Linked DNA regions of Coturnix japonica. The protein of the gene in region 1 interacts with the protein of each later gene in a pairwise test. Links are inferred from orthologs where the notes say so. Each region holds a gene or a part of one and is shown in the gene's direction. Other genes may lie near its edges. The genes, in order: ZCCHC10, CEP70, SFMBT1 and THAP1.

Evidence for each region.
Region 2: the proteins of ZCCHC10 (region 1) and CEP70 interact in binary tests that used the Homo sapiens proteins (3 or more experiments, as listed by UniProt). The two-hybrid records come from large-scale screens. The link is inferred for Coturnix japonica from reciprocal best matches to the Homo sapiens genes ZCCHC10 and CEP70.
Region 3: the proteins of ZCCHC10 (region 1) and SFMBT1 interact in binary tests that used the Homo sapiens proteins (3 or more experiments, as listed by UniProt). The two-hybrid records come from large-scale screens. The link is inferred for Coturnix japonica from reciprocal best matches to the Homo sapiens genes ZCCHC10 and SFMBT1.
Region 4: the proteins of ZCCHC10 (region 1) and THAP1 interact in binary tests that used the Homo sapiens proteins (3 or more experiments, as listed by UniProt). The two-hybrid records come from large-scale screens. The link is inferred for Coturnix japonica from reciprocal best matches to the Homo sapiens genes ZCCHC10 and THAP1.

Annotation. Positions count from the first base shown.
Region 1 is NC_029528.1:1,103,177-1,106,736, forward strand, and holds the end of ZCCHC10 (zinc finger CCHC domain-containing protein 10), read left to right. Parts: exon of another isoform or gene 1-1,279; coding exon 1,280-1,544; 3' UTR 1,545-3,068; downstream 3,069-3,560.
Region 2 is NC_029522.1:18,786,300-18,790,397, reverse strand, and holds the start of CEP70 (centrosomal protein of 70 kDa), read left to right. Parts: upstream 1-1,261; 5' UTR 1,262-1,288; coding exon 1,289-1,394; intron 1,395-1,545; coding exon 1,546-1,669; intron 1,670-1,979; coding exon 1,980-2,160; intron 2,161-2,437; coding exon 2,438-2,607; intron 2,608-3,679; coding exon 3,680-3,739; intron 3,740-4,098. Other genes in the region: FAIM (fas apoptotic inhibitory molecule 1), read right to left, coding at 510-553.
Region 3 is NC_029527.1:488,616-492,845, reverse strand, and holds the start of SFMBT1 (scm-like with four MBT domains protein 1), read left to right. Parts: upstream 1-1,407; 5' UTR 1,408-1,525; intron 1,526-2,612; exon of another isoform or gene 2,613-4,230. UniProt on the Homo sapiens protein: Histone-binding protein, which is part of various corepressor complexes. Mediates the recruitment of corepressor complexes to target genes, followed by chromatin compaction and repression of transcription.
Region 4 is NC_029547.1:47,539,732-47,544,046, reverse strand, and holds the start of THAP1 (THAP domain-containing protein 1), read left to right. Parts: upstream 1-1,490; 5' UTR 1,491-1,531; coding exon 1,532-1,602; intron 1,603-1,792; coding exon 1,793-1,988; intron 1,989-4,315. Other genes in the region: transcription factor jun-D-like, read right to left, coding at 1-529. UniProt on the Homo sapiens protein: DNA-binding transcription regulator that regulates endothelial cell proliferation and G1/S cell-cycle progression.

The DNA of each region.
Region 1 (3,560 bases):
CACATTGCCTAATTAGAACAAGATAAAATAGGTGAATTTTACTTGATCCTATGACCGTCTTCCTTCTGTAACTGACAGCAGAACCACACATTGCATCATCTGCCAACAAGTATCTGCTTGCTGCTTCTCTCATAGATGTAGCTATTGCTTTCCTCTAGGTGGAAGTATGAAGTGTTAACAGCTGATAATTCCATGAGTAGGTTTCAGGGTGCGGTGTGAATATTGAAGGTCCAAGAACTGCTTCTATGGATTCTTTGGTGTGAAGGATGACTGGGACAGGACGAAGATTAAAGTCTCTATCTGGGGATCCTTTGTCAGATTCTTGTCCATATAAATGGGTCTGAAATGCAGTGAAGCTGTTTAGATAGAAACAGTTTGCCCGGAAAATACCAAATGCCAGTTTAAAATTGTCCCTTTTTCATTCATCTTGTGACTAGTTTTACGTCAGCAAAAAGTCTGTATTTAACCAGCCATTATATCTGCACACAGGGAGAGAGAGAACTGATGGCAGATGTATTACAAAAACTTTAGTGGTTCATTAGTATTATGCTAAAGACCTTGATGTTGAGAACAGCTATCTTACTGTAAGGGCTAGAAACGGAGAACTAAATGAAGCTGCAGAGCATGCACAAATCCACTTTCCAGTGTTCCTAATGTCTTTATTCTGGACTGTTTCCACACCTTCTCTCCTACCCTGAAAACATAAGCACTGTGTAATTGTAGAAAGTTTGGCTCCTTTTGTCAGGAGTAATCTAAGAACAGTTTCCATTGAGCACAATTCTAATGTTTGTGAAATCATTGATGACATTTCCAACCAACATTTACATTGCTCATATTTCACTTGTTACAGTTCTAGGCATCCAGGCTTCGTTAATTTCTGCCTGAAGCTTTAGCAGTAGAGCACATTCATGCTTTTTCTGTGACTTTATTCTTCTGTTGAGGTAGGCCAATGAAGTTGCTAGTTGTTCCTATGAGCTTTGCCAGCTTTCACACTTATCTTTTTCCCCTGTAGTCCTGCATTCATTTTGATGTTGTATGGGACAACTTACTTCACATGCACAGTGTCATTCTGCTGTTGCTCAAATAGCCAAAATTTGTTCTTTCAGAATGAGGAGGTAGAACTGAGAGCTGGGAGGAGAACAAGGGGGGAGGGAAGTTTCCTAAGTTGTCAGGCCCAGAAATGTTCAGACCAATTAATTGATCTTTGGATTACATCAGAGTATAAAGAGCGCTCTGTCTGTAGCAGACTGTTCTCATCTGTGTATTTGTTTTCTTTCAGATCTAAAAGTATAACAAGTTCCAGCAGCAGCAGCAGTGACAGTTCGGCTAGTGATTCCTCATCTGACAGCGATGACTCTTCTACCTCCTCCTCTTCTGATAGTGACAGTGATGAGAGCTCCTCTACATCCTCATCTTCTCCATCCTCGAGTAGTACTTCCTCATCTTCGGAGTTTGAATCAGATTCCAGTTCCTCCAGCAGTAGCAGTAGCAGCACAGACAGTAGTTCTGATGATGAGCCACCAAAGAAAAAGAAGAAGAAATAATGTGTTACAGCAAAGAACTGTTATTGAGTGAATTATAGAGGTTTTGAGCACATGGTTGCCAAATGGTTTAACTGGTCAACATTTCTACTGCTAAAACTTTCTAAATGTTCTGTGTAGTTCATAGGACATGAAAGATAGCAAATGGCACGTGAAACTTACTGAAAGAGTATTTTTGAGGTTTATCATTTTATGGGAGATCTTACTTTTTTTAGTTTAGATGTCTATCATCAGATTTGTTTCTATGAGCTAAGGCCCAGTAACCTGGATGTTTACATGCTGGAAAGCAAAATCTTTTTATTGCAGATCATGCCGTGCATCGTATACTACTAGTCTGTTTATGGCAACTTCACTTACATTTAGAAAATCCTCTGAACTATTAGAAGCAACTGCAGCACTGCTGCCTGTAGTGCACTGTCACTGTTGAAATGGAACTCGTGGTGTTGCACACAGAGGACCTTCCATCTCACTGCTAACTAATATGTGCCGCTGAGCTTTTTTTCTGGTGGCTTTCCCTGATGCTTCCAGGTTGAGTCTTAATTGCAACATAAACCTTTCAACAGCGTTCATTTGTTAATGATGAATATACTACTTGTACTGTACAGAGGCTTTGCCTGTTTCCACAGTCCTTGTATTTGTAGTACTTTTCCAAGATGGTGTCTCTTGCAGCAATGGCCGTGTAAGAAAGAGGAGCAGTGCACGATGGAAGGATTGACTGATGCTGCGTAGGAGTTTCATCTTTGTGCCTTTTTTTTGTAAACCACATGTATCCTATTGAAAGAAGGGCTTGAATAGGTGTGTTTCAGAACTATTAGCTTTCAATATAGAATAGTCAGTAAAAATGGTAGTAGCAAACAAAAATGGCACTATTTTTCAGAGAGAGGAAGGCTGTTTTCACTGACCTATCAGTGAGGAGCCGTCTTTAAATGGAATTCCCAAAGGAGGGAGTTTCCCTTTTGATATTTTTGCAAAAAAAACTCAGAAGTTGTGTAATGTAAGACTACCAGTCTGTGTTGTTGGCATGTGGTGACTGGCGTTATGGTCTGCAGTATGATCAGTCCATTGTCTGTGTGAGTGCATACGAATCTGAAAATCTGCAATGAGGGATGCAAACCAATGCAAAGAAGTGTACTTTGTACAAGTATACTAAGTGTACTGCAGAACAATTACTGCCAGTTACAGAGTGAAACTTTGGTGTTCTTCTGGTGGGCTTGACCAGTCAGCATTCACCTTCTGATTTGTGATGTTGTCTCCTGCGTTTCTTATTGTTGGAGTTCCCTTTTTTTGGGGGGAGGGGACATCACACGTGGAAGAATTCTTAAATATCTTTGTTTAGGTAAAATATAATAACTAAACTATTTTTTATATTTTTATGGAGAATGTAGTGTGTAGTATTACTTTTGAATAAACTGTGCTTCTATTTAAATGTTTGAAAATATATATGTTGTGTGTTTTAGTCTGTAATCATTACTGTGTTTTACAGAACGCCGCAGACCTGTAAATAAAATGACCAGAAAATTGTTTGAAGTCTTCCTTAGTGAATGTACTATTTAATGGGAAAAAGTTAATGAATTATTAAATGGTGTTTTCTAGGCTCACGCTTAATGGCAGTCAAAATGTGCTACAGTAGTAAAGTGTGGAAGAGGTGGTGGTGCTGGGAGGGGGGAAAGGCATTTAAGAGTTGTATTCTTAGAGATGACCCTAATCCCAGCCCTGTGACAGCTCTGGCAAGCTGTGATGACTGAAGCAGGTTGTTAGGAAGCTTGCAGCCCTGACTTCTGCTGTAAGGGCACAGCGGGAATGGGGCACTGCTGGAAGAGGGATGTGATGCCCATTTTCATGGAGATCATGTGCAGGGGATGAAGGTTTTCATTTTGGGTGGCACTGAGGAGCTGAGTTACAGTAGCAGCACTTTGGATGGAAGGGGGACTGTGATGAGGAGCAGCAGTTAATTAGGAGGGAGGGGACAAGGGATCAAGTCTGAATTACCTTTGCCACCCTATTAAGACCTTGTTGTAT
Region 2 (4,098 bases), on another chromosome or scaffold:
CAATTAATTGTCATAAGTTTACACAATTACTTGCACGTTCTTGCTTTTAAAATCATTCAAATATGACAAAACATCACAAAAGCAGGCAGGTAAGCAGGCTCGCTCTGACAAACACCATACAAAGATATATACCCATCCAAACTCCGGAGCTTCCAGTTCAGGGGGCAGTATAGTTTAAAACTGTACTTAGGATTCAGATGTTCCTTGCGGGTAAATTTAAGCAGGCTTTAAAATGCAGCATTTCATTTGCTCTCTGAGTAACCCCTTCAGCCTTCTGAACTTGAGAAGTAGTTGTAACAGATAAGCTCATCACCTACTGATTCTAGCAGAAATATTACCTACATCATTTGGGAATGCAACTCTGCACACACAAACACACACAGGGAAGGAGACTGGAAAAGATATCCTTCCATTTAGAACACGTTTAATGTTTGGTACAGCCATAAGTGACCACGGCAGTGGGGGATATCTTTCCAAAGGCCGTACGGGCTGCAGCTCTGCTGTTTTACCTTACTTCTTCTTCACTGAGGGTAACCTCCTCGCGGGATGCCATAGTAAACAAAGGGCTTTTAATCCAACCAGCAGCAAGAAAAGAAGAAAAGCAGGATAGCAGCTAGGAATGCTGAGAATGGATGGAGTTATGACTAACGGATTTGTTTGCTGTGACACAAACATCATTTTCCGGACACAAACTGGTTTTGTGTAAGAGCACGAATGACGAATGAAGAGCACGGCTGTCCTGTAACCACATCTCTCCCTTCAGCTGTGAGGGAACCACACACCCGCATTCCATGAGGCTCAGCACCAACACCAAAGCCACCAACCAGGACTCAAACCGCCTCCAACATCCACTCAGGCCCCTGAACTCGTCCTACAGCGAGTTTACAGCCACAGCCTTTATTTCTGCATTACTCCGCGACGTTCCCTCCCCCATCACTCACTGCCATCCTCACAACCCCTCACACCCACACCCCCCCCTCCTACCCGCCTGCCCCGCTCCGGCCGCGCGGGTCCCTCCTCCCCTCCGCCTCAAGATGGCGGCTGCCCGCCTCCCCGCGCTGACCGTTACCGCCCCACGGCTCAGAGCCCGCCCTCATCGCCCGTTCGGCCGCTTACTTTCCTTGCCTGCTCTTCCTTTCCCTTGGCGGCTCAATATGACGGAAGTATCGCGGTAGTGACACAAAAGGGCGCCGAAGCAAAGCAGAGCGTGTCCGGCTCTTCAGAAAGCACAAATTCGGCTCACTGCATCCATTTCCCCTTCTACCCGGAGCGTCAGCGTGCCTTTTGCATGCCTCAGGTTTCTGCCTCTTCCCAGCTTCAGCAGGAGGAAACGGAATGGGAGACCCTCAACACGCTGCTGTTACGCCATGGAATGGTGCCCATAAACACCCCAGGTAAGGAGTGCTGGTGGTGGAGGTCCTTGGGCAGCAGACATGAAGTCATGAGGTGCTGCTGAAGCCATCGGTTCCATACAGTAACGGTGATGCCATCTTCAAGTACCAAAAGCTTTTGGTTAAGGCGTTGTTTTATGATGTGTGCTTCCAGATGTGATTGCTTTGGACAGTCAGGCCTCTCTGGGAATAAGACTTGCATTAAAAACGTTATTGGAAGACACCGACCGACAACAGAAGATGATGTACGGGCTTATGGAGACTAATCGTAATCTTAGGTAAGGTGCTGTGAAGGGAATTTGCAGGTAGTGCAAAGCAAAAAGCACTATTGCTGCCCGTTTTCTGTCACATCCAAAGCCAGAGACCTTTTTCTTGAGACTTTTGTGCTATATGCAGCAATATTGGCCCAGATCTCCTTGAGCTGTTGTCTGAACTGCATCTGCTCTTGCTTCCCATAGTGGCATATTTCCTGTGCCTGCTGCTGCAGGCTGTTACTGGGCACCATCGGATAATATTTGCCAGGCCTGTGCTTCTTGCAGTGCATTTAGTGAAATGAGTTTAATTTAAATCAAAGATTTGTGTTTCTAGAGATGAGGTACGACAGGAACGAGGTCGGGCATCTCGACAAGAGGAAAGGGCTAATGAATTGGAAAACGTGGTGGAAAGCATTAAGGCAAAAATCCGTCAGCTGGAAGATGAGACAATAGCTAAAGTTTGCCGGCAACAGAATCAGGTCAAAGAACTTCATAAAGAACAGATGGATTCACAGGTAAGTCAGTCTGCAGCACTCAAACTTTTGACTTCTTTTGAAAGCTCACATTGGTCCAAATAAATACAAGTCTCATGTCAAACTTCATATGCTATTTGTAGCTGATTTTATGTTTTACAAATAATTTTCTAGTAATAAATTGGAAAAAATATATGAACCCTTCTTCCACTGGCTGTTTGATTAAGCTTTCTTGGGACCAAGCACCAAGTGTGGGTTGGTGGAGCACCATCTCCAGCCTGTGAGTTCAGTTCAGAATGCTCCTGTTATCTCTTCACAGGCAAAATACCAACAGCAGCAGGAAAAGCTGCAAGAACAGGAGGAGATTATTGCCCGTTTGCAGAGGGAGCTGTGCAAAGCTGGGCTGGAGGAGCAGCAGCGTGTTGCCACTCAAACCGAAATGTTCTGCCGGTTTTGCAAGAGAGCTCCCAAGTCCCTTCTAGATCAGCAGTAAGGAATTTTGTTATATTGGTGAATGACTTGTAACATTAAATGAATAAATGGATTTTAAAGTGACGGTTCTTGATACTTACATGGGAAAAAAAAAACAAGTTGGAGATGTTAGTGCAAGCTGAATGAATGCATGGCAGAAGGTAAAAATTCTCGGCCTCTGTATCCACTAGGTGTCAGCAAAGAGGGCGGAATGGCTTATTCTGGAAACTGCATCTGCTACAGTGATTTTGTTCTGGGACTTGTAACGTTTAGAATGTAAATTTAAATAACAAAGCAAAAAAGCAACAACAACAAAGACAGCTCGGGAAAACAGCTTTTGTGACTGCTGACTGCAAGCAAACTCCAGGCACTTTGTGCATGTTCTGAAAGCCTACATGTCCTGCAGTAACTCTGTTTTTCAGCTATAGTCAGAGACAGCTGACAGCTTCTAGGCCTCAGGTGGCTGTTGCCTTACTGTGCTGGTGTGGCCTGGTCCATCCAGGTCTGCCTAGGATGTTTACCTAGGAGAAATTTTAGAGGGATTGTGTGCCTCTCTCTGTTTCTTATGCCCTCATTAAACAACAAAAAAAGAAGCTCTGAGATTCGTTCCCTGACATTTCTCACCTGTACATACAAAACAGAAAATCTCAGAGTGGTTCAAAAGGAAATGCTGTTTCTCACCTATACGTTTTTCTATGGCTTTATTTCCTTGCAGCCATTTCCTTAGAAAGCACTTGTAGTTTCTCTGGAAGTTCTTAGGCTGTGTGTGACCTGTTCTGTTATATCACCTCCAATGGTCCGTGCAGCCCTACAGCTTAAGACTGTGACAGCTTGTTAAGCTTGCTGGGTGAACATAGCCATGAGATGTAAGGGCTGTCAGGAGGATTTAGCTTTTGTCTCCTCTTGAGTCATTTTGCCACTTGTAATCTAATAGGCATTTAATGTCTCTATATTTCTTTTTTTGGAAAACTGCGACTGATATAAGGGAGAAACAGTCACTTTTAAAATACAGTGTAGCTGTGTAAGCTATCCTGTTCCAATAGATTGGTAACTATATCTTAAGTTCAAAATACCATTTTTCCTTTTTCAGGTTTCTTTGTCTAATCGATTATTATGAATCTCAAATTAATCAAATGAAAAAGGAGCTACGGTGAGTCTCATCTAATGCCTTGTGGTCCTACTGCTAAAAGTTTTCTTTCTCCTTGTTGTTCTTAAAGCTTGGAATGGCAAATGTTCTATTTTCTAGATGTCACTAAAACATAAGAAACAGCCAAACACTGTAATAGTCTTGGAAGTTTGGATTAATCCTGGAAATTTCTCTCAGTCTGAGCAGCTGCGCAGTCAGGCCATACAGCCAGGAGGGCATTGTATTTAGACACATGAGCTATAATCCTTTGTTTGTTTTTCGGCTTTCCCTTTTGTAGAGGTTTACAGGCAGCACTACTGCATTAGCTATGCACAATTCACCCGTTTCCTAAAAAGAAAGAAGGAAAAATAAAAAAGAAATAC
Region 3 (4,230 bases), on another chromosome or scaffold:
CTGTAGTTAAAGATAAATCAAGAAAGCAAACTCAAGGAGCTGAAGAGAAATGTAATTCCACTGTAATATTAGAATCCAAATCTATCCAGGAAGCCTGACCTGGTCATTTCAACCATTTCACCTTTTTGGAGATAAAGCGAAGCAAATCCTTCACACAACTTCACATTCTTCCAGCAAAAAGTCACTGCTTCCTTAAGCACACGTGAGCACACTTAGAACAGCCTTAACCTACATCTGGAAAGTCTTCAACTATGAAAAGAAAGGCAGAAGGTGGCAAGTGTTGTAATGGCCAACAAATGAAATATGAGGGCACCCTATCCCACAGGGAAGGTGTAGGGTGCTGTAAAGCTGCTTTCTCCTAATAGGGGCATCATTATACCATTATCATAGAACTTCCAGGGGTAGCTTCTGCTGGTGGGCTGGAGAGAGAAAATACTTTTACCTTCCCCTTTGCAGAGCAGCTTTTAGGCTCTGTGAAAGTTCATGTGCTTTTATCTCCAGCTTCGTGCAGAGGGACTTAGAAAAGGAGCAGGAGTCCAGCCCTGAAGTGCCGGGCTGTCTTCAGGCTCAGCTCGAGGCCTGTGTCACTGCATCTGTGACTTGTTTCCTTTACAGAAAGGGTTCAGCCTTCTGTCATTATTCAAGTTAAGTCAGCCTTCATCTCACCGTGCTGCACAGCCCGGCTCTCAGCCTGTCCTCACAGGGAGCTGCTCCATCCCTCGGCTCATTTTTGTGACCCTCCTGTGGATGCGACCCAACAGGTCGGTACCGCTCCTGTACCGAGGATGCCGTACTCCAGGCGGGGGCTCAGCAGCGCAGAGCAGAGGGGCGGGACCCCTCCCCGGCCCTGCCGGCCACGCCGCTTCTGCTGCGGCCCAGGACAGCCGGTTCCTTCATAAATACCCACTCCTGTCCCATTTCCTTAACGCGACGCAGCGACGGGGATCCCGGAACCCCCGTCCCGCACGGCGAGACCCCCCTCCAGCGGACGGCCCGTGTGCGGAGCTGTGTGCGGAGCTGCGGGGTGCTGCGGGATGCTGCGGGATGCTGCGGGGTGCTGCGGGATGCTGCGGGAGCTGCGGGATGCTGCGGGATGCTGCGGGGGCGTGCGGGATGCTGCGGGTGCTGCGCGGATGCTGCGGGAGCTGCGGGATGCTGCCGGGAGTCTGCGCCCATCGCTGCGCCAAGGAGCCCTTCCTCCGGGGGCGAGCGGAGCTTCTGTCGCCCATGGAAGGTCCGCCCTGCAGCCGTGGGTGCTCCCGCCGTTGGCGTCCCGTCAGCGGCCGCAGCAGGTGAAGGGGGCAGCGGGCGCAACGTGGGGCGGCGGCGGATCGGGAGGGACCCGAGCGCCGAAAGCCGCCGGGGAGGGGAGGGGAGAGCAGGGGGGAGGGAGGGGGGTGGGGGGGGAGAGGCAGCGGCGGGCGCATGCGCTCTGCCGGGCCGTGCCATATTGGAATGAGGCGGCGAGCGGAGCCGGGGAGCAGGAGCCCGGGCAGCGGCGGAGGGCTGGAAAAACTCCCCGCAGGTGAAGCGGGGGGTGGCGGCGCACAGCGGCGGGCGGAGCGGGACGGCCCGCAGCTGGTGGGGGCGTTTTGCCGGCGGAGCGCGGGGCACGAGGGGTTTTTCCGGGCTCCCGAAGTTTGGATGCGGGGAAAAAAAGGCGGCGAGGGAGGAGGAGGAGGGAGGAGAAGGAGAAGGAAAAGGAAAAGGGAGGAGGAGGAGGAGGAGGAGGCGGCAGCGCGGCGCGGCGGCAGCGCGGGGGGAGCAGCGCCCGGGCACTGCGCGCAGCGATGCGCGGGGCGGCACGACGCGCAAGTGCCCGCGCGCAACTCGGCGCGCTCCCGCTGAGCCCCGTCCCGCTGTGTGTGAGCCCCGGTAACCCACAGCTCTGAGCCCCGTTAACCCACGGCTGTGAGCCCCATCCTACTGTTAACCCCCGTCCCGCTGTGAGCCCGGCCCCGAGTTGCGCTGCCCGCCCCGCGGGAACTTTGCGCGCCCCGCGCTCGCGGTAGATCCGAACCCGTTGCGCGCTCGCCCCTCTCCCGTTCAAGATGGCGCTGTTGGGGGACCTTTAAACGCCGCTCCGCTCCGCGCCGCTCCGCACCCCCGCCCGGCCCGGCCGTGCCCCGGCTCTACGTCCCGCCCTGCTGCCGCCGTCGGGCGGAGCGGAGCTGCGCGGCCGTTCCCGGGGCCGCTTTCCGCAGCGCCGCCGCGGGGCCTGCGCGTCCGCGTCGTGTGCGCGCCCGGCGCTGCGCTGCGCTCGGTTCCGCTCCGTTCCGCTCCGTTCCGCTCCCCGCGGCTCCGGCCTTTGTCCTGCGGAGCCGCTGCGCGCGGCCGGGCCGGGCCGGGTCCCGGGGATGCGCGGCCGGGCGGGGCGGGGCGGGGGGAGCGGCCGGGCGAGTTCCCGAAGTTGGGACCTCGGCTCCGCCGGGCGCGGGGGAAACAGCGGCAGGAGCGCGGCCGGGCGGCGTCGGTGGCGGCGTCGGTGGCGGCGTCGGTGGTGGTGGCGGTGTCGGTGCTGCGCGATCCCGCCCCGTTTGCTGAGCGTTGGCCGGCGGTGCCGCTTCGCTGCGCGTTACGGAGCGGCGGAACCGCCCGCGGAAACTTGTTGCCGCCGTAGCGGGGCTCAGTGCGCGGAGCTCAGTGCGCAGAGCGGCTCCGTCCGCCCGGGGATGCGGCACCTGCCCCGGGACCCGCCGCGAGTTGCGCTGTGCGGGACGCGCTCGGACGGCACCTCGCGGCGGTACCGGTCCGACCCGCGCGACGGCTGCGGCCGGGGGTTTGGAGCCGCTGTCCCGGCACCGGGGAAACCGGTGCGGGCGTGAGAACGAACCGACTGTCAGTGAATTGCGCGTTTTCTGCGTGGCTGTCATTGCTGCCGTGCGGTTTGTACATAAAGGAGCGAGCGGGCATCCGTCCGTCCGTGCGATCGGCTGCAGGAGCGCTCAGGGGCTTCCTGCCCTCACTCAGCCATTTCCTCTTTTACTTTTGCTTTGCGAATCCGTGCTGTGATTGAAGGGCGGCGAGAAGGAGACCTGCTGCTTCCCGGAGCTGCCGGCTCCCGAGCGAGGGGAGGCTCCGCTGCGCTTCTGAGCCGCGCTGGGTTGGCCGTGCAGGGCTGTGCTGCGCGCTGCCATCTCTGGGCCGTGCACTGGCACCGGGTGCCGGGCGCTGTGTGTGCGGGCAGCAGCCGGCACCGCATCGATCCGGGCGGTTCTTCCTTCGCAGCTTTTTCCCCCTTTGCTCGTAATTTAGCGCCGCTGAACGAACGCGTGTGGTGGCTTGACCCGGCGAGGCTGTGAGTGGTTGGAGATGGTGTGAGGAGCACGTTTGGTGGCACGTTGTGTCGGGTGCCTTGTTACGCTGCCCCGAGGTATAACAGCCCTGATCGCAGCCTTTGCCGTGTGCGCTGCGCGCTGCTGCCCGGGCTGCAGGCATCGCCCTCGGGGGGCTGTGCGGGCACCGCGCAGTGACAGCAGCGCTGAGCCGGGAGAGCTGGGAAGCGTTTGGTGAGGGCGGTTCTGTTGGGGGCTGATAGTGCAGAAACAAAGTTGCGTTCGTGTAATGGTTCTTTTCATTTAATGATGCGCTTTGACTGACTTGAATCCCTCGTTTTTTTCCAGTGCCCGATTTTCTCTATACTGATAAACCCTATGAGAGAAGCAGATGGACTTTAGCTATTGTTTATTTGATTTTAAATTGGTTTTGGTTCCAGGAGCGTATTACAACAGGCAGACACGCTCTCACGTGTACTGCTTGTTTTCATTTTTCATCCCAGTCTCTAGTTCCAAATGTGCCCCTGTTCACACATGAGGTGCTGAGCTGTGCTGGTGGTTGCTGTGAGCCCAGAACAGTCCTGTGGGATGTGACCTGTGCAGGGTAAGGGGTGGGACACGGAGCTGCCACTGCCTGCACGTCCTGCAGCATCGTAGGCCGTGCTGTCTTGTTCCAGGACTAACTCTGTTCGTTGCTCTTCAGGGCATTGCCATGAGTGCAGCTGATGCCCTCAGAAATAAGGGAAGTCGGGTTCAGTTGGAAACATCACATACCTGGCACTGATTACCCAGCTGGACAGAACTCATTAACTCCTTTTAAACCAAGGCAGTGAGTGCGGACCTGAAAGCCCTCCCTGCTTTCGGAGCACTTTTCCTCCTGTACTTACAGAACAGAACTGAGAACTGAAGTCTGTTTACGTCTTAAATGGTGCATTTGTTCAACTTCTTAAAAATA
Region 4 (4,315 bases), on another chromosome or scaffold:
ACGTTCCCGCCGCCGCCGGCCCGCCGGCTCCCCCGGCCGCCGCCGGTCCCGGGCTGCCGGGCCCCAGCCCCGCGCCGCCCTGGATGAGCAGCTGCTCCAGGTCGGCGGCCGGCGGCAGCTTCAGCAACGGCAGCTCCGCCGCCGAGCCCAGCGCGGCCTCCGGTCCGCCGCGGTTCGCCGCCGCCCCGGCGCCGGCCCCCGCCGAGCCCTGCGCCGAGCCCGGGGGCGGCGGGGGAGCGGCGGAGGGCGGCAGCAGGCGCAGGGCGGCCGCGCTGCCGCGGGCGCTGCCGGGCGGGCGCAGGGCGAAGGGCCCGGGCAGCGGCGAGGGGGCGGCGGGCGGCAGGTCGCGCTTCTTCCCGGCTCCCAGCAGTAGCTTCGGGCCCGCCGCCGCCTCGGCGCCGGGTCCTGCGGTGGCGGTGGCGGCGAAACCCGGCAGCGGCACGAAGTCGGGCAGCAGCTCCAGCCCTTCCTCGGGGTAGAACGGCGCCTCCATCTTCACGGCGGCTCTCCCGCTCCGCCCGCCGCTCATGCTGCCGGCCGGCCGGGGCGCGGCGCGGCGCGGCGCTCCCCGGTGCCCGCCCTGCGGCGGCGGCGGCTGTGTGTCGCGGCGCGGCTGCGTTCGGCGGGGGCCCGCAACCCTCGGCTCTCAGCGGGGACTGAGCCGCCTCCCGGCGCCACCGGCCCCACGCCCCGCCCCGGTCCCGCCGTCTGCCCGCCCCAACGCCGCCGCCTCCCCCGAGCTCCCCGCCGCCGGCCCCCGGCTCAGAGGGGCTGCGCGGGGCTCCGCGAGGGGCCGCGCTCCGAATTCGGCGCTCGCTTATAGACCGGCTTATTGCCCTTCTCTCCATCCTGTGTCTCTGAGGGGTTCCGGACCCCATCCTGGAGCTGCTTCGCGCGGCTCCTGCCCTTTGCTCCCGCTGTGGGTGCGCCATAGGGCGCTGCCCGCACCCCTGCTCCCGACACCAGCGCCCGCTGCCCGCCCCGCACGGGACAGCGAGATCGGGACATGGGGCGCTCCGGGGGAACGGCCCGCTGCTGTTAGTCGCTGGTGTAATACAGGGAATGGTACGGCGGAGCGCACTCCGCGTTAACTTTTTGTACTCCATCGCGTCGGTGTATTGTTAGCTCACCCTAACACCTCAGCAGGGCCCAGCAGCCCACACACACCCGCACCCCATCCCGCCCTGGGGGCGCTCTGCCGCCGCGCCGCAGCTGCCCCTGAGGTAGTTCCGGAGCGAGGGGCGGGAGCAAGGCAGAGCGCCGCTCCGATTGGACGATCTGCTTCCCGAGGCCCCGCCCCCCATGAGAGGACCCACCAATGGGCAAGGGCGGCGCGCCGTAGCACCGCGAGAGTTGCTCTGAAGCTGGTGCCGCCATCTTGGAGTTGGGAGAGGCCGCGTCCCGTTGCCGTCCCTCTCGGAGGGTCACCGGCGGGGGGGGACGGGGCACGATGGCGGCCCCACGGTGAGCGGACGGCACCTGGGAGCCCCTCCTCGCGCCGCTGGGCGGCGGCGGCCGCGGGGCCGGCGGGATGGTGCAGTCGTGTTCTGCCTACCGCTGCCGGAACCGATACGACAAAGAGAAGCCCATCTCCTTCCACAAGTGAGCGCGGGCGGCGGGACGGGGTGGGGCGGGGCGGGGCGGGGCGGGCAGGGCGCCAGGGCGGGGACAGGGCCGCGGGTGTGCGACCTCCCGACGCAAGGGGGCGCTGGGCGGCGGGAGAGGGGCTGGGATGGTGGGCCCGGCGTGAATAAAGAGTTTGAGAAACGCTGAAAATAGCTGTTGTTGTCAGGTTTCCTTTGACCAGGCCTGACCTGTGCAAGAAATGGGAGGCGGCGGTGAAAAGGAAAAACTTCAAACCCACCAAGTACAGCAGCATCTGCTCCGAGCACTTCACGCCCGACTGCTTCAAGCGGGAGTGCAACAACAAGCTGCTGAAAGAAAATGCTGTGCCCACTATATTCTGTTACACTGAGCCCAGTGAAAAGGTAAGCGCACACTGCTCACAGCCCCAGGTGCCGAAATGCACTGTGCAGCTTCTCCTGTCATTAAGGCCATTTGTCATCACTGCAGTTGTGTTACTGGTGCTGTCCTGTTGTAACAACTGCAGGCTGACATTTGTATCTGGGTGTTAACTGCACTGGGTAGGGCTTTGATTGTTCACAATCAGACCATCCCAAAAATATGACAGATAATACAAGGCCCTGGGACTTTTCAGGACTGATGGCCCATTCTTTCTCCTGTAAATCAGAAGACAGTGCTTGCTGTGTTCTTTATTGCAGATAGAGTTGCAGAGGCTAGTATTAAATCATCAGCATAATGTTATAGCTTCACATCAGGTGTCTTGTTCTAGTTAGCCAGGTCCAGAGCTATTAAGTCATGGCTACAGGTAGGACTATCCAGATGCCCCTGTGAAAGAACCCAAAAAGTCCAGCCTCCTACAAAATAGCATTAACTGCAAAATTGTGTTATAATTCAGAGCACCATCTGCTAGCCACTTTTCTTGATCTTCCAGAGTATGTGTTGGCCACCACTGACAATATATAAAACTAGTGCCTGTCTGTTGAATATTGAACATATTTAGGCAGTTTACTTGTGTTCCAGAGCTAACATAAACCCTTTCTCATGCTCAGGGCATCATCTGTATTTTTCCACACAGTATACAATGTTCGATTTAATGCAGAAATAAAGAAGGAACATCTAGAAAATGAAAAGTGGAAATAATAGGCAAGAGACCATACATAGCACAAGGTATAAAGTGAAATGTGGACCATTTTCAGGTCTGCTTTTTGTGCTAAGATCTGTTTGATGACGGTTCCCCACAATCTTAGCAACATATTTCCTATGTCACTTAAAATTGTTTGCAAAACTTATTGCAGTGTGAAAGCTGAAGGTATTTAATATTGACATCAATGCAGTAGTTCTGAGCCACATTCTCTCATTCATTGCAGTACCTGGCTTTATGAGTGCACAGAACAGTGGCTCCTTATGGAAAAGGAGTTGGTGGTGCTACTATTTATGTCACAGCAGCTTTCAGTGTATCTTCAAGACATTGAATAGTAGTGAATAAGGACAGCATTTTTTTTAAATTCATACTGATTTTGAGATACAGCATTTTTTGCATCATAATTCTTGAAATACTTTTTTAGCTATGTCTGACAACCATTTACTGGATGTAAGAAGGAATAAGAACTCACTTGTGACGTGTGAGCAGTATGAACGATGAGCTCTCTGTGACACACAGTGACAGCAGTAACACAGCATGTGCTGCGTAGCTCTTGAATACATGCCTCTGTCTGAATGCAGCTGTCTGGCAACAATGCCATTTTTGCTCGTGCTTCTAACATGGGCAGAATTCTCTCTGCACATTATGTCTTTGGTTTGTCATCTTAGCTGAAAAGTTTGAAAGCTGTAGGTCAGACATTTTAGAATATTGGTATGTGATTTAGATGGACACACCTGGAGCATCCACTTCTTATAACTGAGAACTGACACAGGCAGTGGGCTGGTTTTGTACTTTAAAGTGATCAGTAATACCTGAGCAATGTGAAACTTCCCCTCAGTACCAGAAGTGGAACTGTGTTCTCAGTTCCTGTGCCTAATGTAGTTTGTACAAGGATGACATCTGTACTTCCCAATCTGACTGTTGACTTGTTCTTTATGTTAAGGCAAGAAGCTTAATAATGTGATCTTCCAGTCTCAAGAGGGGACAGTTGGTGGCTGTTAAAATTGAAGATGCGATCATCTTCATGCTTTTATTTGTAGTAATAATGTTGGGGACAGGGAATTAAAAAATCGGTTTCAGTGTCTCTTTCACTGAGACATTCTTAGGCTTTTGGGTTTTTTTTGGTTTTTTTTTTGTTTTTTTTTTTTTAAACGGGTAGTATACATTATGTGTGCATTTCTGAATAAAGTATGTTCCTCTGGGGCAGAATAATCAGAATTCTCTTTGACCTCCTCCCAAGTGATGACAGGTATGCATTGTTCTGAACCGTGCAAGTGTCTGAACCTATCTGGAGCAGTATGGTGAAGCCTGCAGTATGATGTGGGAATGAGCTCGCTTAGTGTTCTGCTCTATCCCATCTGCCAGCCACCCAGTCCTATTTTCTTACTCCTTCCATATGACAGCTCTCACTGCATGGCTTTGACTTTAATGCAGGACAGAACTTTATTGCAGCGATGGTGGAAGTGTGAATAGCTTTCTGTCATCTTAGCAACATCCTGTATTTAGGGAAGGATTCATAACAGAGCTGGGAGAGCTGTTTATTTTGGCTCATCACATCACCAAACCCTTCTGCTGCGATCCCAAAACAAT